Macaca mulatta: one gene and its partner. Each later gene encodes a partner of the first gene's protein in a complex. Links are inferred from orthologs where the notes say so. Each region holds a gene or a part of one and is shown in the gene's direction. Other genes may lie near its edges. The genes, in order: ARPC2 and ARPC5.

The links.
Region 2: ARPC2 (region 1) and ARPC5 share a complex: the UniProt entries of both Homo sapiens proteins name them as parts of the arp2/3 complex. The link is inferred for Macaca mulatta from reciprocal best matches to the Homo sapiens genes ARPC2 and ARPC5.

Annotation. Positions count from the first base shown.
Region 1 is NC_133417.1:123,457,619-123,472,801, forward strand, and holds the end of ARPC2 (actin-related protein 2/3 complex subunit 2), read left to right. Parts: intron 1-827; coding exon 828-954; intron 955-2,774; exon of another isoform or gene 2,775-2,889; intron 2,890-3,284; exon of another isoform or gene 3,285-3,347; intron 3,348-4,387; coding exon 4,388-4,488; intron 4,489-4,828; coding exon 4,829-4,929; intron 4,930-9,287; coding exon 9,288-9,312; 3' UTR 9,313-9,501; downstream 9,502-15,183. UniProt on the Homo sapiens protein: Actin-binding component of the Arp2/3 complex, a multiprotein complex that mediates actin polymerization upon stimulation by nucleation-promoting factor (NPF).
Region 2 is NC_133406.1:41,102,184-41,117,944, reverse strand, and holds the start of ARPC5 (actin-related protein 2/3 complex subunit 5), read left to right. Parts: upstream 1-6,824; 5' UTR 6,825-6,968; coding exon 6,969-7,112; exon of another isoform or gene 7,113-8,055; intron 8,056-9,594; coding exon 9,595-9,666; intron 9,667-12,105; coding exon 12,106-12,282; intron 12,283-14,971; coding exon 14,972-15,034; 3' UTR 15,035-15,761. UniProt on the Homo sapiens protein: Component of the Arp2/3 complex, a multiprotein complex that mediates actin polymerization upon stimulation by nucleation-promoting factor (NPF).

The DNA of each region.
Region 1 (15,183 bases):
AGAGGTTTGTAGAAAAGACATGGCAGCTCCAGCAAGAGAGCAGTACCTGCCTGGGTTTGTTGGAGATGGTGTTAGGAGGTGGTATTGGAGCAGCAGTAGAAGGGCACTGCAGGCCACATGACTGTAACCATGCCTTCAGAACTCCTAAAACAAGAGACCTTGGAGAGTCCTTGGCTGCATCCTCCTGCTATCTATCATCGTCGAAGGCCCGCTTGATGAATTTGGATCATCCAGTTTTACTGGCATTGCTAGAAAATCTACTTCTGTTCTTGCAGATGTGGCTGAGAGAAGGAAGTCTTGTATTACTTGTCTATTTACATAGGAATGCATGGACTATAGAAGCTTCAGGTTTGGAGATTGAAACATAGAAGGAAGGGCTTCCTTTATGAGCACCAAGACAGCTCAGGTTCTTTCATTCCATTGTCTTCTGTCCCCAAGAAGAGCTTAAGTTTGCTCTAAAGATTTTATTGATGAATTCTAAATAGCAACAGGATCCTCAGTGAAAAAAGACTCATGCAAAGTCCCAGAGCCTAGAGAAAGTATGGTAGTTTATCACCTATGTTGGTCCAAGGGAAAAGGATTATCACTACTTTTCATCACATTTTGAAGATCTGACTTATTACTTTGAAGTCTCTTCCTTTTGAATCTGAAGTACAGTGGCAGCAGCTAGCACTTGTAATATTTCAGGTTTGGTGTAGTTTATTTGTAACCTCCTGCTGCTCTGGAGGGCTACAAAGGTCACACCGCATAGAACAAACCCCATAGCTTGAGTTGCCACTCATCTTACACCCACTTCTCTTCTGGTTGCTTTTGCTTTGTCTTGGCAGGAGTTCAAAGAAGGACGCAGAGCCAGCCACACAGCCCCACAGGTCCTCTTTAGCCACAGGGAACCTCCTCTGGAGCTGAAAGACACGGACGCCGCTGTGGGTGACAACATTGGCTACATCACCTTTGGTGAGCAGGGTGCACTTGCTGCTTGCATGCCGCTTTAATGAGTTCACACAGAATACCTAAATCTGCACAGAACCTTGGTTAACATTTTAAGGTAGGCAAAAGCAGGCGTACCAAGTTGTTCCTGTTGCCATTGCTGTGACTAAAGGAGGGATGTCACAGGGTATTAATCACAGAGCATGCCATATGCTATTTTTGTACAGTAATCATTTCATTTTTTCCCCGTTTTTCTTAAATCTTAAAAATAAGACTGAATTCTGATATCAAGAGTTAAGGTCCCTTCGATAGCTCAGCTGGTAGAGCGGAGGACTGTAGCTACTTCCTCAGTAGGAGATGTCCTTAGGTCAGTGGTTTGATTCCAGCTTGAAGGAGTACAAGTACAGTTTTGGCCAGGCATGGTGGCTCATGGCTGTAATCCCAGCACTTTGGGAAGCCAAGGCAGGCAAATCACAAGGTCAGGAGATCGAGACCATCCTGGCCAAGATGGTGAAACTCTGTCTCTACTAAAATACAAAAAAAAAAAATTAGCTGGGCATGGTGGCACACGCCTGTAGTCCCAGCTACTTGGGAGGCTAAGGCAGGAGAATTGCTTGAACCGGGGAGGCGGAGGTTGCAGTGAGCTGAGATCGCACCACTGCACTCCATCCTGGCAACAGAGCAAGACTCAGTCTCCAAAAAAAAAAAAAGAGTTAAGGAGGCTGGGTACAGTGTCTTACGCCTATAATCCTAACACTGTGGGCAGATCACCTGAGGTCAGGAGTTCGAGACCAGCCCGGCCAACATGGTGAAACTCCGTCTCTACCAAAAAAAAAAAAAACCACAAAAAAAAATTAGCTGGGCGTGGTGGCATGTGCCTGTAATCCCAGCTAGTCGGGAGGCTGAGGCACAAGAATCCCTTGAACCCAGGAGGCAGAGGTTTCAGTGAGCCAAGATCACACCATTGCACTCCAGCCTGGATGACAGAGTGAGACCTTGTCTCAAAAAGAAAAAAAGTTAAGGATAGGCCAGGCACAGTGGCTCATGCCTGTAATCCCAGCACTCTGGGAGCCCGAGGTTGTTGCGTCGCTTGAGTCCAAGAGTTTGGGACCAGCCTGGATAGCATGGCGCAACCTCATCTCTACAAAAAGCCAGGGGCCAGGCACAGTGGCTCACACCTGTAATCGCAGCACTTTGGGAGGCCAAGGCGAGCAGATCACTTGAGGTCAGGAGTTCAAGACCAACCTGGCCAACATAGTGAACCACATCTCTACTAAAAATAAAAAAATTAGTTGGACATGGTGGCATGTGCCTATAGTCCCAGCTACTTGACCAGGTGAGGCATGAGAATTGCGTAAACCTGGGAGGTGGAGGTTGCAGCAAGCTGAGATCGTCCTGCTGTGCTACAGCCTGGGAGACTGTCTCAAAAAAAAAAAAGATAGCTAGACGTGGTGTTGCATGACTATAGTCATAGCTACTTGAGAGGCTGAGGTGGGAGGATCACTTGAACCCAGGAGGTCGAGGCTGCAGTGAGCTGTGATGGCACCACTACACTCCAGCCTGGGTGACAGAGTGAGACCCTGTCTTATCAGAAAAAGGAGTTAAGAAGAGAAACCACCTAAGCAGCTAGATGGTGGTTCTCTGTCATTTGGCAATTCTTGGTTTTTTGCTTATTAAGCCCAAGCTCCAGCCATGGTCCACTTACTCCACTTTTCCATGGAGTAAATTCAGGTCTTCCTTCAGTTGCTCCAGCCTCATGCACTGGCTGATTAGGATAGCTTACAGTTTGGAATTAACAGCTCATTCACACTGCACCCGATGCCACTGGAATGTCTCCTTTGTGAAATGTAATTTAATTCACCTCAGTGGTAAAGGTGAGCCTGTTTATTGGTGATGAATCTGTTGATTTACCAAATTTCATTAAATCTAAACAATACACTTTTTTCTTTTTTCTTTCTCTCTGTCACCCAGACTGGAGTGCAGTGGTGTGATCTCGGCTCACTGCAACCTCCGCTTCCCAGGCTCAAACAATTCTCGTGCCTCAGCTTCCCGAGTAGCTGGGACTACAGGCGCATGCCACCACACCCAGCTAACGTTTGTATTTTTAGTAGAAACGGGGTTTCCGGCCGGGTGTGGTGGCTCACGCCAGTAATCCCAGCACTTTGGGAGGCCGAGGCGGGCAGATCACGAGATCAGGAGATCGAGACCATCCTGGCTAACACAGTGAAACCCCGTCTCTACTAAAAATACAAAAACTTAGCCAGGCGTGGTGGCAGGCACCTGTAGTCCCAGCTACTTGGGAGGCTGAGACAGGAGAATGGTGTGAACCTGGGAGGCGGAGCTTGCAATGAGCCGAGATCACGCCACTGCACTCCAGCCTGTGCGACAGAGCAATACTCCGTCTCAAAAACAAAACAAAACAAAACAGGGTTTCCCTATTGGCCAGGCTGATCTCAACTCCTGGCCTCAAGCAATCCACCCACTTCAGTCTCCCAAAGTGCTGGGATTACAGGCATGTGCCACCGCACCCAGCCAGCTATACCATTTTTTTCAAGTTTTTATCTTTGAAGCTGGGTGCGTCTTACAATTCATGGCATGTCATAGTTTAATTGGCAGCATTTTTCTCTTGTGGTATATAAAATTATGGCAGACTTAGAGTCATAGCCTCCCAAGTAGCTGAGATTATACAGGCACATGCCATCACATGTGGCTAATTTTTATATTTTTAGTAGAGATGGGGTTTCACCATGTTGCCCAGGCTGGTCTCGAACTCCTGATCTCAGATGATCCGCCCACCTCAGCCTCCCAAAGTGCTGGGATTACAGGCGTGAGCCACCGTGCCCGACCTCACACAGGTCTTTAGGTGGCTGGTGCCACAGGGTTGGACTTCAGTCAGGCCCAGTCAGAGCAGCTCCTCTTGCCTGGCCTATCATGAGGGTTCAGGTCCTTATACCTTATTGTCTGTTTTCACAGTGAGAATATGGGAAATTCTCTGGCATCTGTGTTCTGGGAAGGTTTACTCTATTTCAGCACCAAGGACCTAAGACAGGCAGCTGCATTTCCTAATCCTGATTCCTTAAGGTAAACTGTTATAGCCAGTTAGTGTAATCCTGGAGTGTGATTCTGGAGTGTGCCCAGCTGCACAGGCAGGAGCTAGTACATGTGTGGCAGACAGGGAATAGATTTCAAAATGCACAGCTGCAGAATCCAGGACTAGAATGAAGGCCTAGCGTCAAGCCCTGTTTTTCATCATGGGCTCCTCCGTTCACGCTCATTGACACCTTTCCTGGCCATGCTGTTTATCCTTCCATGTCAAGAAAAAACCCTGACAAAGCCTGGTAATATTGACACAAGTGGAGGGTACTTCAGCAGAGAGGGAGTGAAGTTCACTAGGCTGTTGTTCTTCCCCACCCTTTGGCATTCGTGTTGGGTCCTAACACCTTGTGTCTTCCACCTTCAGTGCTGTTCCCTCGTCACACCAATGCCAGCGCTCGAGACAACACCATCAACCTGATCCACACATTCCGGGACTACCTGCACTACCACATCAAGTGCTCTAAGGTGAGGGGGGTGCCAGCATCTCAGCCGCTATGCTCTGGGTCTTTTCCTCCACCAGAACTCATGACAAAAAGTCATTCTGTTAGTCTAGGCTGTGGATATTGACTCTTAGGTAGATAATTCTAGAGGCTTCAAGAAACCATGGTCTTTCTTCATCAAGCCACTGTCCCCCACCCCTCCCCGTAGCAGAGATGAATATTTGTTTCCAGAATTGCTCACCTTCCTGCTTTGCTGCAGGGCCTGGGTCAGTCCCAGGGTGTATGTTCCCAAACGCCTCTGATGAAAGCAAAGCTGTCTTTCTAGACCGTGACTGTGCTTCAGTACCTGTTATGTTTGTTCCCAGGCCTATATTCACACACGTATGCGGGCAAAAACATCTGACTTCCTCAAGGTGCTGAACCGCGCACGCCCAGATGCTGAGAAAAAAGAAATGAAAACAATCACGTAAGTTAGGCAGCACTCCAGCAGGACCACCTTCCTCTCCTGAGTCACCGAGAAGGAAGCAGTGGGTGCTGGTGGCCTGGTCCTCCATGTGTCTGGGCACTGGCTACATGTGAGGCCAGCAGGGCTAAGTAGATAAAACAAAGGTGGGATTCCAGGTTTTCAGTGCTGTATAGGCCCAGATGGGTTTCCTTGTTTCCATATCTTTGTGAACTCTGAGAATGGCAGCTAGGAAATAAACAAAGTTTACCAAGAGACTGTTGTTTTTGGGCCTGAGTTACGAGGTCAGTCTTGTGCTTCTGGTGTTCTTTCTGGAGAGATGGAAGAAGTTGCTTAGGGACCTTTACTTGGGTAAATAGTCCTGACGCCGCCCACTAAGCGTTCTTTCCCTGGTGTACTCTCAGCGGGAAGTTTGCATGCAGAGGAAAGTTCTCTTTATCAAGGATAGAATTGAGGAGAGCCCTGATGGGCACAGTGGCTCACGCCTGTAATTCCAGCACTTTGGGAGGCTGAGGCAGGTGGATCACGAGGTCAGGAGTTCAGGCCTAGCCTGGCCAAGATGGTGAAACCACATCTTTACTAAAAATACAAAAAAAATTAGCCGGTCGTGGTGGCAGGCGCCTGTAATCCCAGCTACTCGGGAGGCTGAGGCAGAGAATTGCTTGAGCCCAGGAGACAGAGGTTGCAATGAGCTGAGATTGTGCCACTGCACGCCAGCCTGAGCAACAGTGAGACTTCGTCTCAAAAAAAAAAAAAAAAAAAAAAAAATTTTTTTTTTTTTTTTTTTTGAGGAGAGCCCTAAATAGGGGTGTGGCTCTGCATGCAGGAAAGACGAGCATGGCCTAGAGCCTAGAGAGTTCCATCTCTGTGAAAGGTGCCAGACCTTGGTTCTTCTGATGAAATTCAGGCAGTCCTGTCCTTAAGATACAGTAATGGTGTTCATCTGCTGTTTTTTTGTTTTGTTCGTTTGTTTGTTCGTTTGTTTGGTGGGGGTAGTTGGGGGAGACAAAGTCTCATTCTGTCGCCCAGGCTGTAGTGTAGTCCAGACCTTGGTTCTACTTCTGATGAAATTCAGGCAGTCCTGTCCTTAAGATACAGTAATGGTGTTCATCTGCTGTTTTTTTGTTTTGTTCGTTTGTTTGTTCGTTTGTTTGGTGGGGGTAGTTGGGGGAGACAAAGTCTCATTCTGTCGCCCAGGCTGTAGTGTAGTCCAGACCTTGGTTCTTCTTCTGATGAAATTCAGGCAATCCTGTCCTTAAGATAAGGTAATAGTGTTCATCTGCTGTTTTTTTGTTTTGTTTGTTGTTTTTTTGGTGGGGGGAGTTGGGGGAGACAGAGTCTCATTCCGTCGCCCAGGCTGGAGTGTAGTGGCGCAATCTCAGCTCACTGTAACCTCCACCTCCCAGGTAGCTGGGACTACAGGTGCACGCCGCCACGCCCGGCTAATTTTTTGTATTTTAGTGGAGATGGGGTTTCACCATGTTGCCTGGGCTGGTCTCAAACTCGTGATCTCAGTCAATCCGCCCACCTCGGCCTCCCATCTGCTGTGTTTTGTACCAGTTGAACTAAAAGTCTTGAGATCATAAGCCTCCCTAACAGCCAGTGTATTTGCCAGCACCCCAGTACTATTGGTGTTTGTTTTGTTGTTTTGTTGTTTTTTGAGATGGAGTTTCGCTCTTGGAGCACAGGCTGGAGTGCAGAGGCACAATCTTAGCTTACTACAACCTCTGCCTCCTGGATTCAAGCAAATTCTCTTGCCTCAGCCTCCACAGCAGCTGGGACTACAGGCTTGCGCCACTAAGCCTGGCTAATTTATTTGTATTTTTAGTAGAGTCAGGGTTTCACCATTTTGGCCAGGCTGGTCTTGAACTCCTGACCTCGTGATCCGCCCACCTCAGCTTCCCAAAGGGTTGGGATTACAAGCGTGAGCCACCGCGCCTAGCCCAGTACTCTGTGATTCCCAGCCTGGAGTGCAGTGGTGCAGTCTTGCCTCACTGCAGGCTCATCCTCCTGGGCTCAAGCAATCCTCCCACCTCAGCCCCCCAAGTAGCTGGGACCACAGGCGTGCACCATCACAGCTGGCTACTTTTTTAATTTTTGTGGAGACAGGATTTCACCATGTTGTCCAGGCTGGTCTCGAACTCCTGGACTCAAGTGATCCTCCCACTTCAGCCTCCCAAAGTGTTGGAATAACAGACATCAGCCACCGCACCTGGCCCAGCACTCAGTACTCTTGAGGCAAAGTTTTAGTGGGTGTGGTATGCCTAGGGCTTTACACTCTCTCTCTTGCATTTGAGGGCTCTTCTACCAAGTTAGTTTCTGCTGCCATTTGAAAGGATGAGAAAGAGATCCAAGGACCTGAGCAGTAGGTGAGGGTTTTCAGACATTCTCAAAATGCAGTTTAAGGCAGGGTGTGGTGGCTCACCCTTGTAATCCCAGCACTTTGGGAGGCCGAGGCGGGCGGATTACCCGAGGTCAGGAGTTGGAGACCAGCCTGACCAACACGGAGAAACCCCATCTCTACTAAAAATACAAAATTAGCTGGGCATAGTGGTGCATGCCTGTAATCCCAGCTACTCTGGAGGCTGAGGCAGGAGAATCGCTTGAACCCAGGAGGCAGAGGTTGCGGCGACTGAGATCGCACCATTGCACTCCAGCCTGGGCAACAGGAGCGAAACTCGGTCTCAAAAAAAAAAAAAAAAAAAGCAGTTTAAGTCACCCCGACTTCTTTAGGTAAAGGCCTGTCTCTGTAGCAGTTCAGAGAAGAGTGTCCAAATGCCATGCAATGAAATAGCAGCATCGTTTCTTTTCTGCAGCTTCTTGGGCAGATCCTTAAATGGGCAAAGTAACCAACAAGGTGGGTGGGCAGGTGAGAGGATGTGCTCTTGCTGCTCCTCCAGAACCTGGTCTCCATCCTGGTGTCTGCATTTTCCCCTTTCCCTGCTTGCTCTACGCAGGAGTGCTTTTCTCATCAGGTACTTGTTTGGTGACCTGGAGTGTGAGGCAGAGAATTTCATGCTGCTTTCAGGGCCCAGTAGACAGGCAGTTCAGTAGAAGCCAAGAGGTAAACTGGCAGCAAGGTACAGTGAGAGGGAAGCCTGACCTGGCAGCCTGTGATAACTGGACTGGAAGGCTGGGCATCATAATAGTCTCGGGGCTGCCGGCATCACCTTTGGCACTGGTAGCTGCTTGTGCATCCAGGAGGAAGGCCTTTCAGGCAGCTGCTGCCCGATTCCACAGCCAGCAGGCAGTCTTGGGAGTCCCTGCCCAGTGAGTGCAGTTGTGTAGCGGGCAGGGATAGCTTCCTGTCCTGGTGAGAGACCCAGGAAAGGATGAATCCTTGAAATGAACAGACTGTATATAAGTCTCCTCTCTGGGACTTAGAAAGAGCAACTTTGCCTTCTTCTGTGCTGCAGCTTCTCTTTGGCAGAGTTGGGCCCCAGAAAGGAGAAGCAGGAGACAAACAGCTACATCCACCCTGAAAACCAGATTATGTTACTAATGGTGGGTAGGAGTTAAGTGACTCAGCTGTGGGCAGAAGCCAGGAACTCTCGATGGGCTGCCCAGAATTGAACACTCATGAGCTTTTCATTTGGAGAGAAGGATAATAAGGTGTAGCTTCATTTTGGAATGAGTGATACATCTAAGGCAGGGAAAATGTAGAGCCCGTGTTTTTGCCCTGATTTCCCATAGTTCTCAGCTCTAGCTTCCAGGCTGCTTTCCCAGATGCTGTTAGGTACCAGTTAGAGGCTCTGTCCTTGAGGACCACCTATCCCGTCTGGAGAAGTATTGGGTGGAACAGGACACCACAATTCAGGAGCCTCGAACCAGGCGGGTGTTGTATAAGCCAGAGGAGGAGTTACCACGTGATAGCAGAAATACCTTTAGCCTTGGAAGTTCTGAGGATTGCTTTGAACCAGCCACCTGCCTTCATGGTGAGAGATGAAGGAACTGCTATCTGGGAACCCTGAGAGGTATACGCTGTGTAGGAGGAGCTGACAAATGAGGTAGTACTAAGACGATGGTTGAGCCTAGTCAGAAATTCAGGTACATCTAGGCCATCCAAAAATTATGGACAAGTGATTCTTCTATCTAACTTGGTACATTGAATGTCCTTATGGGCTTAACACTGATATTCCTGGGCATCCGAAGTATCCGATAGGAAGGAAGAGCTGGTGAAACCGTTCTGTGAAAGCCAGATTTTAGCCCATGTCCTGTGGTTCCAGTGCCTCTGCTTAAGGAATCTAGCCCTTTCCACCTTTCATTTGGTGTTTCTTTGGGATCCCATCTAGTCTAGGAGTGTGGGGTGGGAGGAAAGGGCAGCCAGAAACTGACCTTCGCACTTATCTCTCCTTTTGAAGGGGGAAGACGTTTTCATCCCGCTAATCTTGGGAATAAGAGGAGGAAGCGGCTGGCAACTGAAGTCTGGAACACTTGCTACTGGATAATCGTAGCTTTTAATGTTGCACCTCTTCAGGTTCTTAAGGGATTCTCCGTTTTGGTTCCATTTTGTACACGTTTGGAAAATAATCTGCAGAAACGAGCTGTGCTTGCAAAGACTTCATAGTTCCCAAGAATTAAAAAAAAAAAAAAAAAAAAAAAATTTCCACTTGATCAACTTAATTCCTTTTCTTTATCTTCCCTCCCTCACTTCCCTTTTCTCCTACCCTCTTTTCCAAGCTGTTTCGCTTTGCAATATGTTACTGGTAATGAGTTGCAGGATAATGCAATCTTAACTTGTTTTCTCCTAAGTATTTGAGTTCAAAACTCCTGTATCTAAAGAAATACGGTTGGGGTCATTAATAAAGAAAATCTTTCTATCTTACATGAGAATTTACTGGGTTTCTGGACTGCGGGTCCAACGTGAGAAGAGAAGGAAGGAAGAAGGATAGACCTATACTGCCCTTGAACCTGCAAACCTAAGCTGGGAAGCCCTAGTTTCAGGAGCCCATCAGGTTTAGGTCCTCACTTCATCTAGAGGAGAGAATGGCTGGCCAGTGAACTATATTTAAACTCCTCCCCTCCCGACTGGGAGACAGGGTCTTGTTGCCTCCTGGGCTCAGGTGATCCTCCCACCTCAGCCTCCCAAGTAGCTGGGATTACAGGCGCATACCACTATGCCTGGCTAATTTTTTATATTTTTAGTAGAGATGAGGTTTCGCCATCTTTCCCAGGCTGGTCTCAAACTCCTGGACTCAGGCAATCTGCTTGCTTCAGCCTCTCAAAGTGCTGGGATTATAGGCATGAGCCATGGAACCCGAGCTATTAATACAAACTTACATGCTTCCTTGTAAAGCTTGGTCCCTGAGACTCTGTGGCTGTTCCTGAAGCTCCCTGGACAGTGACAGACAAACGGTTTTCTGGTTTTTTTATTGTGAATAATGTGTGGGATTTCCCAAAATGTGTTCCTTAGTGTGTGGTCCTGCAGGGCATTGATGGTTATTCAGGTGTATGTCTGATGCAAACTAACTGGCCACAGTTTGTCTTTCTCACATGGCAGCCCAAAAGACTGCTTTCAGGGAGAGAAGTTGTCAAAAACAGTACAGAGCCTAGTCGAGCAGCTGTCCCTCAGCAGGACTCTGGTCCTTGAAATGAAATTGCTTCAGAAAGTTTGCTTGGAGTAAGGAATTAAGAGAATTTTAAGGGCATCTGCAATGGTCTGATGGTCATTCTAATGGTTTCTGCCTTCCATCTATGGCAGTGTGTTTCATACTGGCTTGGGACCCATTAATTGTGACATAACCTGACTATATCACAACCAGCATTTTTGTTTTCTAAACTTTTGATTTTGAGATAACTAGATTTAAATACGGTTGTAAGAAACAATACAGAGAGATCCTGTATACCTTCCACTTGGTTTCCCCGCCATGCTAACATCTTGTATAATTGTTGTGTAGCATCACAGCCAAGAAAAGGTCATTGGTATAGTCCACCCACCTTCTTCAGATTTGCCGCACTGTATGTGGTGTACATCTGTGCATTGTTGTCATATGTGTAGCTTTATGTGACACCAGCATTTTTAAGCAATTGAATAGTATCAGAGTGCATCGCATCTATTAAGGGTAAGTGTTGGTTTGGAAATGTATATTAGTTACATATGCACATCATGACTGGATTATAGAAATGTCTTTTGACTGTGAGTCACAGTGGAGAATTTTGAAAACCACAGGTCGTTCAGTCATCAGACTTCGTTTTTATTTCACTAAAATGGGCTGCTAGAGAGCTCAGGGTACTCTGATAGTTCTAATTGGCTGCTCAGGGTGCCCCTGACCACTTCTGGTACTTGGAAAACCTAGATTAATTGGATATATTGACAGCAACGTGTGCATTCTCTACCTCATGAGTTATTTAAGGGGTTGTCAGGTGTAATTTTGACTAGAAGCAGTTTTTGCTCTTTTTTTATTTTAATTTTAGTTTTTAGAGACAGGGTCTCACTGTGTTGCTGAGGCTGTACTCAAGCTCCTGGCCTCCGGAGTAGCTGGGACCATAGGCACCTGCCACCGTGTCCAGCTGAGGTTTTGCTTTCTTCCTTAGTAGAACATAACTAATGTTGGAGCTCACTGTACTCTCTTGCCAGTAGCAGGAATCCAGTTTCTGGTAGGTACTGTAGATGGCAGAACCAAGATTGCTTAGAAGATATGGAGTTCGGAGAAAAATGAAAAGGCATAAATATTTTCTACAGCAGTAGATCCTAAGGAAGTAACTAGTTCCAAGACGCTTTGTCAACATTAAAAATCCATAGTGCAGGCTGAGCACAGTGGTTTACACCTGTAATTGTAGCACTTTGTGAGGATGAGGAAGGAAGACTGCTTGAGCCCAGGAGTTCAAGACCAGCCTGGGTAACAGTGAGACTCCTTCTCCATCTCTATAAAAAAACTTAATCTGGCCGGGCGTGGTGGCTCACACCTGTAATCCCAGCACTTTGGGAGGCCAAGGCGGCTGAATCACCTGAGGTCAGGTTGAGACCAGCCTGGCCAACACGGTGCAACCCCATCTCTACTAAAAATACAAATATTAGCTGGGCATGGTGGCGGGTGCTTGTAATCCCAGCTACTCTGGAGGCGGAGACAGGAGAATCACTTGAACCCAGGAGGCGGAGGTTGCATTGAGCCAAGATCATGCCATTGCACTCCAGCTTGGGCGACAAGAGCTGAACTCTCCAATAAATAATCTCACCAATAAATAAATCTGTAGTGCAGCCTGGACAACATGGCGAGACCCTGCCTCTACAAAAAATAAAAATTGGCTGGATGTGGTGGTGCATGCCTGTGGTCCCAGCTACTCGAGGCTGAGGCAGGAGGATTGCTTGAGCCCTGAAGGTCAAGCCTGTAATGAGCTGTGTGTGCCTCTCCACTCCACCCTGGGCAACAGAGTGAGACCCGGTCTCAGAAAAAAAAAATCCATACTGGTGTAAACCCCTGTCCAGATTGACTCTTAACAAGGACACACTTGGTGTTAGTACGGATCTAGCCTCAAAGACCCTCCTCACAGATGAAGCAGCCCACTGTCACCAGTTGAGGCCTTAGGACCGCAGGAAGAACGTCTGAGGATGAAGGTCAAGCACACTGAGAGTGTGGGCTGGGAAAAGGGGATCTAGTTGTTTCTTCCTAGTCTCAGGAAGCCAGTGCCCCAAGGGTTCACACCTGGGAGGTGCAGGTATATTTGGATATGGGCTGTAGAAGAACAGTTTGAATCCAGGTTCCGCCATCCAATAGCTGTGTGACAGCAAATCTCTTAATCTGAGCTCTGGTAACCTCATTTAAATTGGACATTTACCCGAGGATTTGTAAAAGGAAAAGAATAAATGTCTCTTACATGGTAAGCATTATGATGCCTGTAATTACAATGTCACTTAATGAATCTTGGTTCCCTTTATACACCCAAGGGGATCAGAAGCGACAGGCTGCTGCCCCAGCAAAGTCCCGCAGAAGCCAACCCTCATTCGGTGCTTGGGGTTTCCTAGGCTTTCCCCAAGGTCGTTGGTATTTTGGTATTTTCCCCTGCTTGAATGGCCCTTACTGCCCGGGCAAGGCAGGTAGGAATCTCCATGTCTGGAAAAAGTGGGACCTGGGGCAAGCTGCAAGCCAAAAATTAGGAGCTTGGCAGGAAAGACACTAAGACTAACAGGAAGTGGAAGGGTGGACTTGGAGGAGGAATTGAAACCAAGAAAAGGAAATAGCTCTAGCTGCTGCCTCAGCCTTCTTGGGGGGAGCCGTTACTTGGAGTTGTTTGCCATTAAGTTACCCTCATTTGGAGTAGTACTGATGGGTGCTCAACCGGAACCTGGGTCTACTCTGATGGCGATTTTGAGTTCAAGCAATGCTGCCCCCTACTGGGGGTTGCTAAAAGCACTGCCATTTCTGGGCGGCGGGGGGAGGTTTGTTGTTTTTGGTTTTTGTTTCTTTTGTTTTTTTGGGGGGGGGACAGAGTCTCACTCTGTCACCCAGGCTGGAGTGCAGTGGCACGATCTTGGCTCACTGCAACCTCCGCCTCCCGGGTTCAAGCAGTTCTCCTGCCTCAGCCTCCTGAGTAGCTGGGCCTACAGGCACATGCCACCACGCCCGGCTAATTTTTTGTATTTTTAGTAGAGACAGGGTTTCACTGTGTTAACCAGGATGGTCTGCATATCCTGACCTTGTGATCCACCCGCCTCGGCCTCCCAAAGTGCTGGGATTACAGGCATGATCCACTGCGCCTGGCTCTGATTTTTTTTTTTAAGTATTATTTTGAGGCAGGGTCTCACGCTGTCACCCAGGCTGGAATGAAGTGGCGCCATGAAGGCTCACGGCAGCCTCGACCTCCTGGACTCCAGCGATCTTCCCACCTCAGCCTCCTGAGTAGCTGGAACCACACAACATATACCACTGTGCTCAGCTAATCTTTATTTTTTGTAGAGACGGAGTCTCACCACGTTGCCCAGGCCTCGGCCTCTTAAAGTGCTGGGATTACAGGCATGAGTGTGAAGTGTTAAACAGCGGCTCAGGGAGGCCAACCAGGGTCCAAGAAACCCCGTCCCTGCTGCCTCCACTGGTCCAGAGCTAGTACCCCCAGCCAGCATGACACTCATGTCCCAGACATTGTGGGTCAACAGAAATTCAGATAGCTAAGAGAATGGAAACGGACAAAGGAGGCACAGGAGGATTCCGTGCCAGAGTCTGGATTGGTCACCCCCGTTCAGGTTCTGCCTGAGGAAAGGAGAATGGGGTCCGGGCACAGTCGGCTGGATGGAGCATCTGAAGACGGCTTGCACCAGAGCCCTCGTGGCTGAAGGAAGAAGCCAGGGGGTGAGTCAGCCCCAGGGCTTGATGGAACAGACAGGAACTAGATGATCTAGTAAGGGAGAAGCAAGGCTGAGCAAGAGACAGCCCAGGCTCCCTGGCTGCCACTGCCTAATCTGTCCCCCTTCACACATCCCACACACAGTGTTTAGACAGAGCAGCAGAGAAGAAACAGACATCCTGGATCCCACGGGGAGCAGGCCGGGGCTGGGAACAGGAGGTCTGTTTATTCCTGGCAGTCCCATATCAGAAGGGTCCCACACCCACTTCTGTCCAGGCCCCAGGCTGAACTCTCCCAGAGCCTGTGACTTCTGCCCTATCATATCGCGTGGTTCTGAGGGCCGGCCCTGGAACCCTGCATCCTCCCCACCCACCAGCTCCCTCGAGGATGGATTTGAGGCTGGATGCTTTCGTCTTCCCACTTTTTGTCCCAACAGAAGTCCCTCCTCTTCAGGATCCCTGACTGACTGTGCAGAGCTAGCAGAGCCACACTCCGCGGACCTCCAGCCCTTCAGGCCCAGCTCTCCTGGAAAGCACGGAAGTCCCTTTGCTCCATTTACTTTTTCAGCCAGGAAGTGTTTCCTAATGTCTCACCCCCAGCGCCAGCTTTCCTGCTGCAGTTTCCGCCTGTTCCTTCCCATTTCAGGCCTTAAGGGAGTGTGGCTGGGCTTCTCTCCTCCCCCTCACTCCAAAGCCGCACTTGATACAAGGTGGAAATCGAGGCACCACTCCTCCTGGCTTCCCAGCCTTGAACTTGCCCTTCCCTCTCAGTGTACGTGGTTTCCTCAGTTTCCCTGTGCAGCAAAAGTGTCACTCCCCTCTTGCTTTTCCTAAGCTCCCCATGTGCCTCTCTCAGCAGATCTGTCTTAGAGGGGCCAGGTGCAGAGAAAAGCAAAAATCCTAATAATGTTCCTAGCGATCGCCTGCCTGTCACGGAGTGCTGAAGGACCAAGTGCTGATCTGAGTCCTCATCACACGG
Region 2 (15,761 bases), on another chromosome or scaffold:
TAAATAATGCAAGTAAAGGGTTTATTTACCAAGTGTCTGACACACAATAAACTTATTAAGTGGTTACTATTATTAATAAAATATGAACAGGATAAGGATAAAGAGTAGGAAATTATAAGGATTGCAGGATCTTTCAAATATTATCAAAACTATGAGTCTTAGATAGTTGACTTCCTATTTTCTTTAAGAAGTAAAGATAGGTCAGGCACGGTGGCTCTCGCTTGTAATCCCAGCACTTTGGGAGGCCGAGGCAGGCGGGTCACGAGGTCAGGCGATCCAGACCATCCTGGCTAACACGGTGAAACCCCGTTTCTACTAAAAATATTTTAAAAATCAGCCAGGTGTGGTGGCAGGTGCCTGTAGTCCCAGCTACTGGGGAGGCTGAGGCAGAAGAATGGCGTGAACCAGGGAGGCAGAGCTTGCAGTGAGCCGAGATCGCACCACTGCACTCCAGCCTGGGACAGGGGGAGACTCTGTCTCAAAAAAAAAAAAAAAAAAAAAAAAAAAGAAGTAAAGATATGTTACTAGAATTTGTGACAATCAGGTTGGGGAACAAAAAGTTGATTTCAATGTTTTGCTTAAAGAGTTAATAGTGGTAATGAGAAAAGAAAAAAGTCCATGGTCATGGCATATACTAAAACAATTATAAGAAAATATTTTGTGCAACTTCTTGCCAATAAATTGGCAATCTAGATGAGATGCATTATTTTCTAGAAACACATAAATTCTAAAATTTATTTAATAATAGAAAGAAAAATCAAACAAATCAATAATCATAGAAGATAAGAATGATCGAAGATCTACCTCTAAAAATATCAGCAAGCCCAGGTAGTTTTGCAGCACACACTATAACTTTCAAAGACCAAATAGCATGATAATTTCTCATCATTTAAACTATTGCAGAGTGTAGGGAAAAAAAGGTGGAAATCTAAATTCGTCTACAAAGTTAGGCTAACACTAATATCAAAACTGGATAAAGATAGCACAAATAAATAAAATTATGGATCCATCTTACTTAAAAACAGAAATTATGAACAGGCATGGTGGGGTGGCTCATGCCTGTAATCTCATCACTTGGGAGACCAAGGCTAGAGAATTGCTTGAGGCCAGGAGTTGAAGACCAGCCTGGGCAACATAGGGAGACACTGCATCTACAGAACAAAATTTTTAAAGGCAGCACGCAGTGCCTCACATCTATAATCCTAGCACTGTGAGAGGCCGAGGCTGGCAGATTACTTGTGCTCAGGAGTTCAAGACCAGCCTGGACAACATGGCAAAACCCCATCTCTACAAAAAAATACAAAAATTAGCTAGGGGTAGTGGTGTGCTCCTGTGGTCTCAGCTACTCGGTAGGCTGAGGTGGGAGGATGGCTTGAGCCTGGGAGGTCGAGGCTGCAGTGAGCCAAGATCACACCGCTGCCCTCCAGCCTAGGCAACAGAGTGTGATCCTGTCTGAACTTTTTTAAAAAAATTCTGAAACCACACAAACAAAATATAAACTAATCAAATCCAGCAAGTAATTAAAATGGTAATATTTCACAACCAAATAGAGTTTATTGTAGAAACATGGGAATTTTTCAGTGTAGAAAAATATATATATTCACTACACTCATAAATTCAAAGATAGAAACTATACGATTTTTATGATTAGATCCCCATAAAAGGCATTTGATAATTTTAGCAGTCATTTCTAAAAGTCATAAAGCAAAAGTAAATATGTCAACTGGTGAAATACCAAAGACATTTCCATTGAGACAGGAACAAAGCAGAAGAGCCCAGCACTCAATTTTTCAACACTCTTTTCAACATTCTAGCATATATAATAAGATAAAATAAGTGACAGAAATATTGGAAAAGAAGATGTAAATTATCATTACCTCAAATATTATACAGTGTGATAAGAGATGCAACCTTAAAACAACTGTTAGCATTAATAAAATACCCCCATGCTAAGAAAGAATACAGGATAAATATGTTTTAAAGTCCATAGCTTTCATTTTATATCATAAGCCGTTAAAAAAATCAAATGAAAAAGTCTCATTCACAATACTTTAAAAATAAGACTTATTCTTTGGCACTAAATCTTCTTCCTGAGGCAAGAGTACAGATTTACAATTTTTTTTAATCTTTGAAGTACTAATATATGAATAAAGGTTTATGAAAGTTGCAGATACCAGGATGAAATCACTTTTTGTCAAACACAAACTAGAGCCAGGAGAGCACAAAGGAGTAGGGTTCATGATTGCATGGACGAGATAAAAGACATTTTTGGAAGTCTTGTCTCAAGGACTTTCTAAAATAAGAAATTCTGTAGGACTGCAGCAATTCAGATAAAATGCTCTCAAAACAACACCTGCCCAGTAATAGCATCTCCTCCTCTAAAATGTCGCCAAGTCTGACTTTGAGTATCCAAAACCAGTATCTGTTTCCAACCATCTTATGTGAACTTCTCCTTTTGCCAAATAAAAGTTTCCCTTTGGCCAGGCGCGGTGGCTCACCCCTGTAATCCCAGTACTTTGGGAGCCCAAGGCGGGCGGATCACAAGGTCAGGAGATCAAGACCATCCTGGCCAACAGGCAGAAACCTCGTCCTACTAAAAATATAAAAACTAGCTGGGCGTGGTGGCGTGCGCCTGTAATCCCAGCTACTTTGGAGGCTGAGGCAGGAGAATCACTTGAACCAGGGAGTCAGAGGTTGCAGTGAGCCGAGATTGTGCCACTGCACACCAGCCTGGCGACAGAGCGAGACTCCGTCTCAAATAAATAAGTAAATAAATAAATAAAATTTTAAAAAGTTTCCCTTTATCCTCCCTTCTTTGATGCATATGTAGCTTGCCACAGCTATGCATCTCAGGTTATAATCCTCCTTTCTAATTCCCAAATAAATTCAATGTATTTAGAGATTTTTTTTTTTTCTTTAGCTTACAGGTTTTTAGTTGACAAGTTTGAGTAGAGAGTTCACCCTATCTACTCCACTTTAATGTGTAATCATAAAATTATATAAAGAAAAAACTCGAAACAAAGAAAAAATGAAATTTTGAAGGTTCGTGTTTTAAAATTTAACACATAACCAGTTGATGCAGATATTCATAGGAGCATTAAATCATAAGATAATCTATGCACAACATGCTAAAAATATTTTTATATTTTTATTTATTATGTATATTTATATATATTATGTTGCCAGAGAACCCTGGTATTAAAGCATCCTTACCAGAACTGAAATTCGCTTATTTATATTTATAATACATTTTACATATTTGATTAGCATTGATTTTGCACTTCTATTTCAAATAATAAAAATAAATAATGTCACGTTGCAGGATTCAATATCTTTTTTTTTTTTTTGAGATGAAGTGTCTCACTCTGTCACCCAGGCTGGAGTGCAATGGCATGATCTCAGCTCACTGCCACCTCCGCCTCCCGGATTCGAGCAACTCTCCCACCTCACCCTCCCAAGTAACTGGGACTACAGGTGCGCACCACCACCCCCGGCTAATTTTTTGTATTTTTAGTAGAGACAGGGTTTCCCCATGTTGGCCAGGCTGGTCTTGAACTTCTCACCTCAAGTGATCTGCCCGCCTTGGCTTCCCAAAGTTCTGGGATTACAGGCAAGAGCCACCGCACCCAGCCAGGATTCAATGTCTTTATTTGTTGTTTAAGTATTTAGTGGCAAGTTTGGGGAAGAGAAGCATATGTTAGAATCCTTGGTTTAAAATGTCTGAAAAGAAAGACCTATTATAGCCTTATTAAAGTCCCTTCTAACTGAAAAGATCCTTGGCTGTTTGCATCATCACAGAAAATAAGGAACTACATATACAGCATTAACCTTGAGAAAATTCAGATTCAGTCCTGCTTCGGTATTGAATCAAACTAGGTTATTTGCACAACAAGTAAAATGTCTTAAAACCTTATAAACCTTTTATATCAGGGTAAGCACTCATTTGAAAAATTAAAAGGAAAATAATATTACCTAAGATGAATGAAGTATCATGATAAACATTAAAAATTTAGAATTTGCAAGGAAGTGAAATAATGAGCTTTCTAATTAAAAGATAATTAAGGACAGATTTCTCCACATACACACAAAAATTTCCCTAAAGCTTTATAAAGATATAACTAGCTAATAAGGTGGAGAAGTAATTTATGTGCCCATTAAAAAATACTCAATCTCTGAATGTTAGTCCAAAATTAAGTTGTCAGATCCTTAAATCATTGGCTAGAAACACGTTGAGTACCTAGTATGTACTAGGCACTTGGATCATTGTGAGACAATAAAATTTACTGCATTAGAAAAGACATTTTTCACATGTTAAATGCCATAAGCATTATTTGGCTGGCAATTAATTATATTTAACACATTAAACATATAGAGCAAAATTCTGAGCAATCAAAATAATTATACCCTTGAGCAATCGATTATTTAAATTCCTCTCACTATTCCCTTAAGCTGATTTCTACTCTGGGATTCTTTCATAGTTCTCAAATAAGAAAATAAAAAATTTCCTAAATAAGGCAATACAAAAGAATAGAAATGTAAGAGAAGAGATGTATTAGCTCTTGAATCTATCCTTGTTTCCATTTGCTCTCAATAGTGCCTCTATTGTTCGATTTTCTCTTCAAAGAAAAATACTGATTTAAAAGAAGAAAAAGTACAATCACCTTTAACAGCTAAAGTGTACTGATTAACATCTACTAAAGTTAGCAAAGACAAACTGAAAAAAAATTGTAAAATCTCTATTCTAAGTTACATAATGCCATTCACCATAGCAATGATTTTATACTTCGGTATATGGTTTTTTAAAATAAATATTACCAACAGGTAAAATTTTTTCCTTTGCTGTCTTAAGACAGTCCTAAGATAATTTTTACCAGTGTGTGTGTTCATAACTTGAATGTTAATTTAAAGCAATGTTACTTCTATCACCTAAATGATATACTTATAGAAGAGTGGTTTAATTGGGAACAGAAAAACGCCACATTGCTTCTTCCCAAGAAAAAGGGATGTATTCCATTCTCGAGGTCTCTCTCCCACTCTCTATTTATATATAATATACTGCATAGATAAATACACACACATATATATGTATTTTTTTGAACTTAAAGAAGACTGGATGTATGTATTTACACGTATATAGCCAACAAATATTTAATTTTGAGATCTCTCTCCCTCTTCTGTTATTCTCAGTATGATTCTCAAACTGTACAGTCTTTCATTTTTCATTCATTCATCAAGCACGCATCGAGTCCCTTCTGCATGCTTAGTTTTTTGTCGGATGGAAGGAAGATACAAAAGAAAAACTGTCTCTGCCCTTCAGAATCTTTCCATCTCTTCCAGGAACAAGATAAAACACCATATATTATTAAGCAATTTATAAGACTAGTCCCAAAACCAATGGTACAAGTAACATGCATTTTACATTTATGTAGAATTTTAGAGCTTGGAAACACTTTCGTGATATTTAATCCTAAGAACAATCTTGTAAAGTGCACATTATTAGCTCCATTTCGGTGATGAGGAATCTGAGACAGAATTTCAAGTGACATGTCTCGTTCAAACATTATGAGCGGAAGAGTCAAGACTTAAGCCTGAGTTTTCTGATTATAAGCCCAGTGCTCTTTTCAACACAGCACTGGAAACCAAAGATTGTGGCACACAACAGGACAACAGCCAGTCTTCTGTTCGAGGTCCAACTAAACTAGACCCATACCTGAGCAATGTCCAGCCAAATGTCCAAATTAATTTTATCCTGCAAATATTTGTTCTTCAGTGTAATACACACAGCACAACTACCATTTCCTTCGTCTTAGTGCCTTTATCTCCTACATTCCGGAAATGGGGATGTCAAATATTTTTTTTAAAATCTGGCCTAGATGGAATCATATAAATCTTAAATCATAATATAAATCTTAAAGGTCTGGTTTCCACCAATCCTTACCCATTTTGTTTTCCCCCAGCACTAGAGAGCCTAACCTACCCTCACCCCTTTTCAGCATTCTTGCTCCAAACAACCACCTATTTTAAGATGTCAATGACCCTTTCCCAAATTCTACAAATTCACCCCAGTTTTGCCAACCGACCCCAGCGCCTGCCCGGACACATTCCCCTCCCTCCCAGTAGATTTGATACCGAGTTCAGGTTCTGCAGATCCCGTCGTGATGCTGTCACACAGCACTGACAGATAAGATTTGACCTTTCGACTCCGTCCTTGGGGACCTCCCGCTGGCCAAGTAGGGTAGTTCCAACCCCAGGAAACGGGCTTCCCGCTCAGGAACGCAGCCCCTAGCAGCGCACAGTCCGAGGTAACGTCTCCGGCAATTAGAACGATGCTGGGCGCCCGGGTGTGCATCACTCCGCCTCATACTCCTGCCAACTGCAGGGCACTCGGTCCGGCAGCCAAGTCCATCCCACCCACATCCAAGTCCCAGCCAGTCGGACCTTACGCAGGACCCGGATGACAGGTCGTTGACGGCTGCAGCAAAAGTCAATGCCACCTGCCGCTGCTGCCCATCACCGACAACCTCAGACCCCCTAGACTGGACCGCAGAAAAGCGTTTCTATGGGAACCCCCTGGGAATCACGTGACGCACTCGGACGACCAATCGTTTCTTACCTCCGCCCGCGATCCAGGTTTCGGCCCTCCCTCTCGCCCCCTCCTCCTTCGCCCAGCCCCGCCCCTTGCCTACGGAGAGCCCGCGCCTGCGCGCTGTGTCCTGCGCCCTCCCTCCCCCGCGCGCGCTCTCCGTGAAAGAGTGGGGGCGGCGTGGGAGGCGCCAGGAGAGCGTGAACCTGAGGAGGAAGCAGCAGGGTTGGCGCGCAGGCCCAGAACCGTCCCAGCCACGGCAGCCGGCGACGCCCCAGAGCGGAAGAGGGAAGTGAATCAGGCGCCGGGCAGTGGGCTGCTGGGCTCGGCTTGCTGAGGTAGAGGCAGCTCCAAGAAGAGGCCTTTGCCGCTGGTAGGGATTGGGATGTCGAAGAACACAGTGTCGTCAGCCCGGTTCCGGAAGGTGGACGTGGATGAATATGACGAGAACAAGTTCGTGGACGAAGAAGATGGGGGCGACGGCCAGGCCGGGCCCGATGAGGGCGAGGTGGACTCCTGCCTACGGCAATATCCTTGCATTCGCCGCCCTCCCCACCCTAGCCCAGCCCAGCCCGCCCTTGTCCAGAGACCCGGGAGCCTGAAGGTTCCGCGGGGCCCCGGCGCGGAGCTGCCCTGTCTACCTGCGGCTAAACCTGTCTCTTTGGGGTCTCCCGCTCTGAGAGGGCAGGAGGAAGCCCCCGTTTCCTACTCAGGAGCCAGGAGACGCGAGGGTCCCACTCTTGGAAGCCTGCCCTCCCCCGCGCGCCTTCCACGCCCCCAGATTCCTCAGGTTGCACCCGAGTGCCTGCCTGCCTCGGGAACCGGTCCCGCCGGCCGCGCCTTCGCGGCGTTGGGGAAGGCGGCCCGGGCTGGTGGGGAAGGCTGGTGCCGAGCGCCTAAGTTTTTCTTCCTAGAACTCTATTTCCCGGAGTCACATTAGCTCCAGAAATTTCTGATTGTGGGGAACCTGCGTCTTTCCTTAGTGATTTTGTTTTTTGTTGTGTTTTTGTTATTGCTAGCATTAAGATAGTTTATTCCTTACCGGGGGCAGAAGGTAGATGGTACGGTTTGAAAATTGAGGTCCCCTATGCTTTCAGCCCATTGGCCTTTAAAAAAAGAAAAAAAAGGGAGGGGGGGATTTGACAAAATATACATTGCACAGAATTTGTTAACCGGGGGAGGGGAATGAATACAATTTTTTGTATTCCTAAAATTGATTCCATTTTAGTTAAAATATGGCTGTCAGTTCCCGGTTTCTGTTTTTGCATATTTGAATATTCATAACTTTGACTCCGTATTTGCATTACATCTTTTTTAGAAAAATGTAAATGTTGCAAAAAACCGAAGCTATAGTTTTAGAAAATCTCAAACACTGGCTTTTTATGCATTTCTAATTATTGGGTGTATTCATAAGGAAGACTCAATGTCCTGTTATATGAGGAAAATGTGAGTGAAAATATTTAATGGCAACAGTATCCTTTTTTAAAGGCACCTAAATACAGCATTAGACATTTATCAATATATAGCTAGTCCTTTGATTGCCACAACTTTCACAATTAATTAGCTGTTGCTCTTTTGCATTATTTAAATAAGTGCTTGGGGTCATACAAAATGAGCTAATCACATGAGGCATGCTTCTCTAGAAATCCTTGCAGCCTTGAAAATAACAGCTTGTCAACCAGAGATTTTGTGTGTGTGAGAACTTTTTCTTCGGAAGATAAATGGTGAACATGCTTCCTAAAAACATTTGTGATGGATAGATGGTGTTTTATGAAACCCCAATGTATTTTAGGTAATTTATGGTGACTGCTGTGTCCATATCAGTGGATCCGCTTTTTGATCAGTACATCTTAAAATAAAAAGATACTGTCTTTTCTTACCCTTACATACAGCCAGGAAAGACAGCCCTAGTGGTGGGGTACTAGAGATGGAGGAACAAGTGAACTCTGTGGTTTTCCTTTTAGGGGAATGTCTGGTACATTCTGACAGTCTGATTGGCCTTCTGTTTCTCATGCTTGCTAACTCACTAGTGCTTTCAAAGAGAGTCTGAATTTAATAGGTATGGTCTAACACAGTTTGAATAACCGTTGTGAAATATGAGAGAAAATATCTAAAGCAAAAAATTAAGCTGCCACCTAAGGGACATATGAATTATTACATCTTCTGTGATGCCTCTTTTCATCAATATTGAGAGACTGCTAATGTGTATCATTGAGATTGCTAATCTGCCAGCATGTTCTACCAGCATTTCAGTTAATATAGAATATAGTAAAAGTTTGGTCTTTATTTTTTCAATTAGAATCACAGGAAAAGACATATTTTGGTTGATAATAGGTTATTTCATTTGGGGGACTAATAATTCTGATACATATTTTAGGATTTCTTTTTTTTTTTTTTTTTTTTTTTTTGAGACGGGAGTCTCGCTCTGTCACCCAGGCTGGAGTGCAGTGGCCGGATCTCAGCTTACTGCAAGCTCCGCCTCCCGGGTTTAGCCATTCTCCTGCCTCAGCCTCCCGAGTAGCTGGGATTACAGGCGCCCGCCACTTCGCCCGGCTAGTTTTTTGTATTTTTTAGTAGAGACGGGGTTTCACCGTGTTCGCCAGGATGGTCTCGATCTCCTGACCTCGTGATCCGCCGGTCTCGGCCTCCCAAAGTGCTGGGATTACAGGCTTGAGCCACCGCGCCCGGCCTAGGATTTCTTTAACACCACTCTAGGTAATGTTTGCATATGTATCTCACTGGGCAATGAAAGACTATCAAGGTGTTCATTTGATAGTTAGAACCAAGGGTGAAACAGTCTTTGCTTTATTAAAAAGAAAGTCTAATGTTCTGTTTTGCTTTTGATATCTTGCCCTTGATTAACATCCTGGAAACCAACACATTGAATTTCCAGTATTGAACATGGTGACCAGTAATTTTCTTTTTATATATAAAGCAAGTCTTCAGAACCAGTGGTTATAATACTTTCCTGGGGGCCATGCTTTGCTGCTACACCCTTAACTTCCATCACAGGAAACATGACAGCTGCCCTACAGGCAGCTCTGAAGAACCCCCCTATCAACACCAAGAGTCAGGCAGTGAAGGTGAGTCGCAGACTACAACACAGTGATCTCTGCTGATACCTTATTCTTAGTAAAATCCTCTGCAGTTGCAAAAAAAAAAAAACCAATATTTTAACCGTTTGCTAACTTTGACATAGAAGAGTTTATAATGTAGTTTGATAGGTAAAAATTTCACGTGAAAAAATAGCCCTGTAATGTAGTTATGATAATGCTGCATGGTAAGATGCAGTGAATTCAAATAGTGAAATCATTTGTGTGTGTTTTTAGAGGAGACCACTCAGGCTGAATTTGAACAAAGGTTTGAAAAATAAGTTAAACCTTTACAAAAATAAACAGATTGTAATTGCTTTTTAAAGATTTTTTAAAACTGTACAAATACTAAATATTTATTATAGAAAGCTCAGACATATGGGAAGGTTAAAAAGATAGTCATTTATAGTCCCACTACCCAGAGATAACAGTTACTACTTTGGGGCCTTGCTATATTGTTAGAGTTCCCTTTTGTTTTTTAAGAATGAAATTTTATAACCTGCTTTTTCGGCTGTATGCAATGTACAAGAGATTTCCTTCGTAATAAGTTTATTTCTATAGCATTTTTAACAGTTGTATATGGATAAGCTGCAGTGTATACATAACTAATCTTTTGTTATATATTTAGACTGACTTTTCCTATTGTGAACCACTGAAATGAATATTTTTTGGTAAATTTTTAATTGTTCTCTTTGAATAAATTGCTAGCAGTGAATTACTGGATCAAAGAACGCACTTTTTTAAGGCTTTTGGTACATGTAGTATTGCCAAATTGCCCTTCAGAATGGTTGTGCAACTTACATTCTCTGCAGTCTTTTAGTAGTTCTTAGCCTATTTAAGTATTTATTTAAAATGATGCCCATAGCATCAACCTCATTGTCCATAACTATTCGTACATCCTAGGAGCTTCAAGAATCTCAATTGAGTAGTAGTAAGTAATAACTTAGGTAAATGTGTAATAATTATCTAGGTAACATAATTTTTTATCGGGGAAAAATTGCTTTGGTTTTTACAAGTTGTAAAGAATGTCGTTGAAATTTCATTTTTACCCTGGATGCAAAGATATGTTTTCTAAATCTGGTGATTGCATAGTCTTTAAACCAAAGATAACAATAGGTAGTAGAAACATTGTGTGAAATCCTGACCAGTAGGAATGCTGGAGGTAGCCCTTTGTGTTGAATGGAAGAAGAAACGAATTGTTGAAAAGGTCAGTTAAGTGTTCCCTTTGCTTGCTTGAATGGGTAAGAAAATAACTGCTTTTGAAGCAGGCTTTTGCTAAAGAAAAAAGATCATTATTAATGAACATCACTATATTTCGTATCTACAGTCAATTCATATAAATTACAATTTTCTTTTAAGACAGCTTTGTTTAAAAATTTTAAAAGAAAGTTTTTAAGAAAAAATTACTTCTGAAGAATAATTCAAGGTAGAAATGCAAATCTGCTTCCTTGTTTTGTGGGGTTTCTTTTTTTTTTTTTTTTTTTTTGAGACGGAGTCTCACTCTGTTGCCCAGGTTGGAGTGCAATGGCGCAATCTCTGCTCACTGCACTCTCCGCCTCCCGGATTTAAGCGATCCTCATGCCTCAGCCTCCCGAGTAGCTGGGATCACAGGCACCTGCCACTATGCCCGGATAATTTCTGTATTTTTAGCAGAAACAGGATTTTACCATTTTGGCCAGGCTGGTCTTGAACTCCTGACGTCAGGTGATCTGCCCATCTCGGCCTCTCGATGTGCTGGGATTACAGCTGTGAGCCACCACACCCGGCTGTTTTGTTGGAATTTTGTTTTTAAGATCAAGACATAAAATTTAAATGTTGTTTTAATAAATTGTTAAATTATCACATTGATCTGTTAGCAAATCCTCTTGGCTCTGCCTTCAATTATGTCAATAGTCTGTCTAGTTTTTAACCACTTCCACTGCTACTGTGCTCACCACATCCGGCCTGTATTACTGCAATTACCTCCTAATTGCTCTCCCTGCTTCTGCCTTATCCCCTACCCCCACTGCTTATTCTCTGTAACGTAGATGCCAAAGCGATCCTGTTAAAATGTGAGTCAGATTATGGCACTGCTCTTAAAACCTTCCAATGTCTTCTTATTTCTCTCAGTAAAAGCCAAACTCCTTACAATGCCTGGAGGCCTTACACGATCTGTCCTCCCATAACCTCTGACTTGCTCACCTGCTTTTCTCCCACCAGTCCACTCCAACCACATTGGGTTTTTTTCCTATTCCTAGAACACACTGAACACACACTAATAGTGTGTTCTTTCCTCTGTCTGAAACACTTTCCTCAGTTATCCCAGGCCTTCCTCTTTCACGTCCTTCAGGTCCTTACTCAAATGTCACCTTCTTAGTGTGGCCTTTCTGAAATTCTAAACCATCCTCATACAGATACGTCTAAATGTTCTGTTATTTATTTACTCACCAGGACCGGGCAGGCAGCATTGTCTTGAAGGTGCTCATCTCTTTTAAAGCTAATGATATTGAAAAGGCAGTTCAATCTCTGGACAAGAATGGTGTGGATCTCCTAATGAAGTATATTTATAAAGGATTTGAGAGCCCCTCTGACAATAGCAGTGCTGTGTTACTGCAATGGCATGAAAAGGTAAATTATGAATTATAAATCTACATAACTGGTTCTTTTACAATAGGGGATGACAGTGACGACCTCTCTCACCTGAATAACCATTTTGACTTGGTTGTACATTTTTTTATTACAAATAAAATGCATGAAAATGATAGTTCATATTTATGTTTACTAGCCTTGGTCTTAAGAGATTCTAATTCCAACACTTGTGTTTATTCAGCAACGATTATTAGTAATTAAACATAATCTTGAACTCTAAATTAAATCAAAACTTTGTAAAAGAAAATAAGCAGTATAAATCAAGAATTCTTTCACAGTGACCAAAGGGTGAAAACAACACAAGGATCATCAACAGATGAACAGGTAAATTGTAGTACATACATACAATGGAATATGATTCAACCATAAAAAGGAATGACATTCTGACACATACTATAACATGAGTAAACCTTGAAAACATACCAAGTGAAATAAGCCAAATACAAAAGAACTAATATTTTATAATTTTACTTATATAAAATAATCTAAGATAGGCAAAGACAAAGGGACAGAAAGTCCTTAGAGGTTACCAGGAAGTAGGAAAAGTAAGGAATAGGGAGTTAGTGCTTAATGGGTACAGAGTTCCTGCTTGGAGTGGTAAAAAAGTTATGGAAACAGATAGTGGTGATGGCTACAATACATTGTAAATGTAATTAATGCCAATGGATTTTACGCTTAAAGATGGTTAAAATGGCAAATTTTGTGTTAGATATTTTACAACTTTTTTTTAAAGAATTAGGGGTTTGGAGGATCAAGAATTCTTAAATCATTTTTTTCTATTTTCATGCATATATTTTGCAATGTAAGTAGATGCTGGTACATCATCTGTCAAAAGAGTACAAGGGATTTTGAGCTTTGGGTAAAAAACTGGATAACATGTAAATAGAACCAGCCATAAAAATATTAAGTGTTTGAAGTGTATCCGAATGAAAACACACACATAAGAGAAAAGTACATAGTAAACTTGTTGTTTAGCCTTGGTCAAGTCACTTTATCCCTCATACACTATCAAAAAGAACTAACATTTATGGATAGGGTAACCATTCCTCACAGTTTTCCCAGGATAGCCCCAATTTATGCTTGTTGTCCCATCATAACTATAAATAGTTCCCCCTTTTACTCTAAAATGTACCAGTTTGGATAGTAATTTATATGGCACCCTATTCATGGAACACTTTCTGTTGCCAGGCACCATACTATTAATGTTTTAGTTTAATCTTTACAACAACCCTATGAAATACATAAATATCTTTATCATCCTCAATTTACAGATGAAGAGCCAGCTTTAAAACCAAGCAGCCTAGTTCTAGTATAGCCTCAAGATTGCAGTGAACATTGATTAAGCACTTATTATATTCCAGATACTCTTCCAAGGACTTTATAAATATTAACTCATTTAATCCTCATGAAAACGGAGGGAAATGTTTGCTATTATTCCTCTTTTGTAGCTGAGGAAACTGAGGCATGTGTGAAGTCTTCATTTCTTCCAAATGTCAGTCACCAGTTTTTACCAATCTTCTAAGTATTTCTGAAATCTATCTGTTCAAGTGTATCTAATGCAGCTCTTCACAGCATCTCTCCCAGTCTGTTGCCATAGCTTCCTGACTGGTTTCCCAGCTACCAGTTTTGCCTCCCTCAAATCTGTTCTCTACCCAGCTAACAGAATGATCTCTTTAAAATCAGAATTGCCCTTGTCAGTCACCTGCGGGATAAAGTCAAAGTTCGCAAGTCTGGTTTCATCTTCCATGTCATTCTTCCCCTCAGGCTATAGCAATGCCAGCCTTTTTCCTGAATGCACCATATCGTTTCACACCTCCATATATTTGCTCATGATTTTCTGGTGTTAGCCTGTCACCTGCTCGTTCTTTTAATGTGTCATTTCCTCCAGGAAGCCTTAGCTGAAACATTCCTCTGTACTGTTAATCTGGGTATAAACCACTCCCTGGTGCTTTAATAGCACCTGAAGCACAACTCTCATTTCATACATTAGATTAAAATTATCTGTTTATATGTCTGTCTCCTCGTGCTACACCAGAAAATGCTGTATTTGTTCACTTTTGTATCCCCAGCATCTAGCACAGTACTCAGTATACAAAGGTATTCCATAAATATTTTTGAACAGAAAGAAACTAGAGCTCAGATTCCTAATACTTGATCATTACTCTCTGTTTTTCAAATTAGAGTCAGAGTTAAAGTTTCTAAGTTCTTAACTATTAAACAATACCTTCTTTCTTTGGGAGAAAAAAATCTGACAAAGGCTAACTAATTGAAGTGGAGGTTGGGATGGTTGATCCCAGTTTGAATTTTCTCCTGACTGTGTAGTGAGAATGAGAGATGCAGAATGTCCACCTGTTTTGAGCAGGAAGACTACACTGCAGATTTTTTAAAACATTATTTAGAATTAATGTACTAGAATGTAAACTAGTATCTCACTAAACTGTAAGCTCATGAGGGCAGGGACTTTCAAGGTTTTGTTTATTACTGTAACCCCAGTGCCAAGAACAGTAGTACCTGGTGCGTAATTGGTGTTCAAGAATTTATTATTTGTTAAATGATAAATTCAGGGTCTATAGCCATGACCATTCCTTCTGTAAGAAAAATGTTTTACTTAATATGAGAATTGACCTTTTACGATTCTGTCAACATTTACATCTTGGTTTGTTTTTAGGCACTTGCTGCTGGAGGAGTAGGGTCCATTGTTCGTGTCTTGACTGCAAGAAAAACCGTGTAGTCTGGCAGGAAGTGGAAATCTGCCTCGGGAGTGGGAATTGCTGGTACAAAGACCAAAACAACCAAATGCCACCGCTGCCCTGTGGGTAGCATCTGTTTCTCTCAGCTTTGCCTTCTTGCTTTTTCATATCTGTAAAGAAGAAAATTACATATCAGTTTTCCTTTAATGAAAATTGGGATAATATAGAAGAAATTGTGTTAAAATATAAATGTTTCATCCTTTCAAAACCATTTCAGTGATGTTTATACCAGTCTGTATATAGTATAATTTACATTCAAGTTTAATTGTGCAATTTTTAACCCCTATTGGCTGGTTTTTTGTTTTGTTTTGTGTTATTTTTACTTAATACTGAGAGATTTGGTTAGAATTTGAGGCCAGTTTCCTAGCTCACTGCTAGTCGGGAAATGATATTTATAAAAAATATGAGAGACTGGCAGCTCTTAACATTGCAAAACTGGACCATATTTCCCTTATTTAAGCAAAATATGTTTTTGGAATAAGTGGTGGGTGAATACCACTACCGAGTTCTAGCTTTGTTTTTGCTTGCCTCCTGATTATCTGTACTGTGGGTTTAAGTGTGCCACTTTCTCTCAGCATCCAATAATGATGGCCTCTCAATTTATTTGTGGTCGCCCAGGGTTCAGAGCAAGAAGTCTTGCTCTATACAAATGTATCCATAAAATATCAGAGCTTGTTGGGCATGAACATCAAACTTTTGTTCCAATAA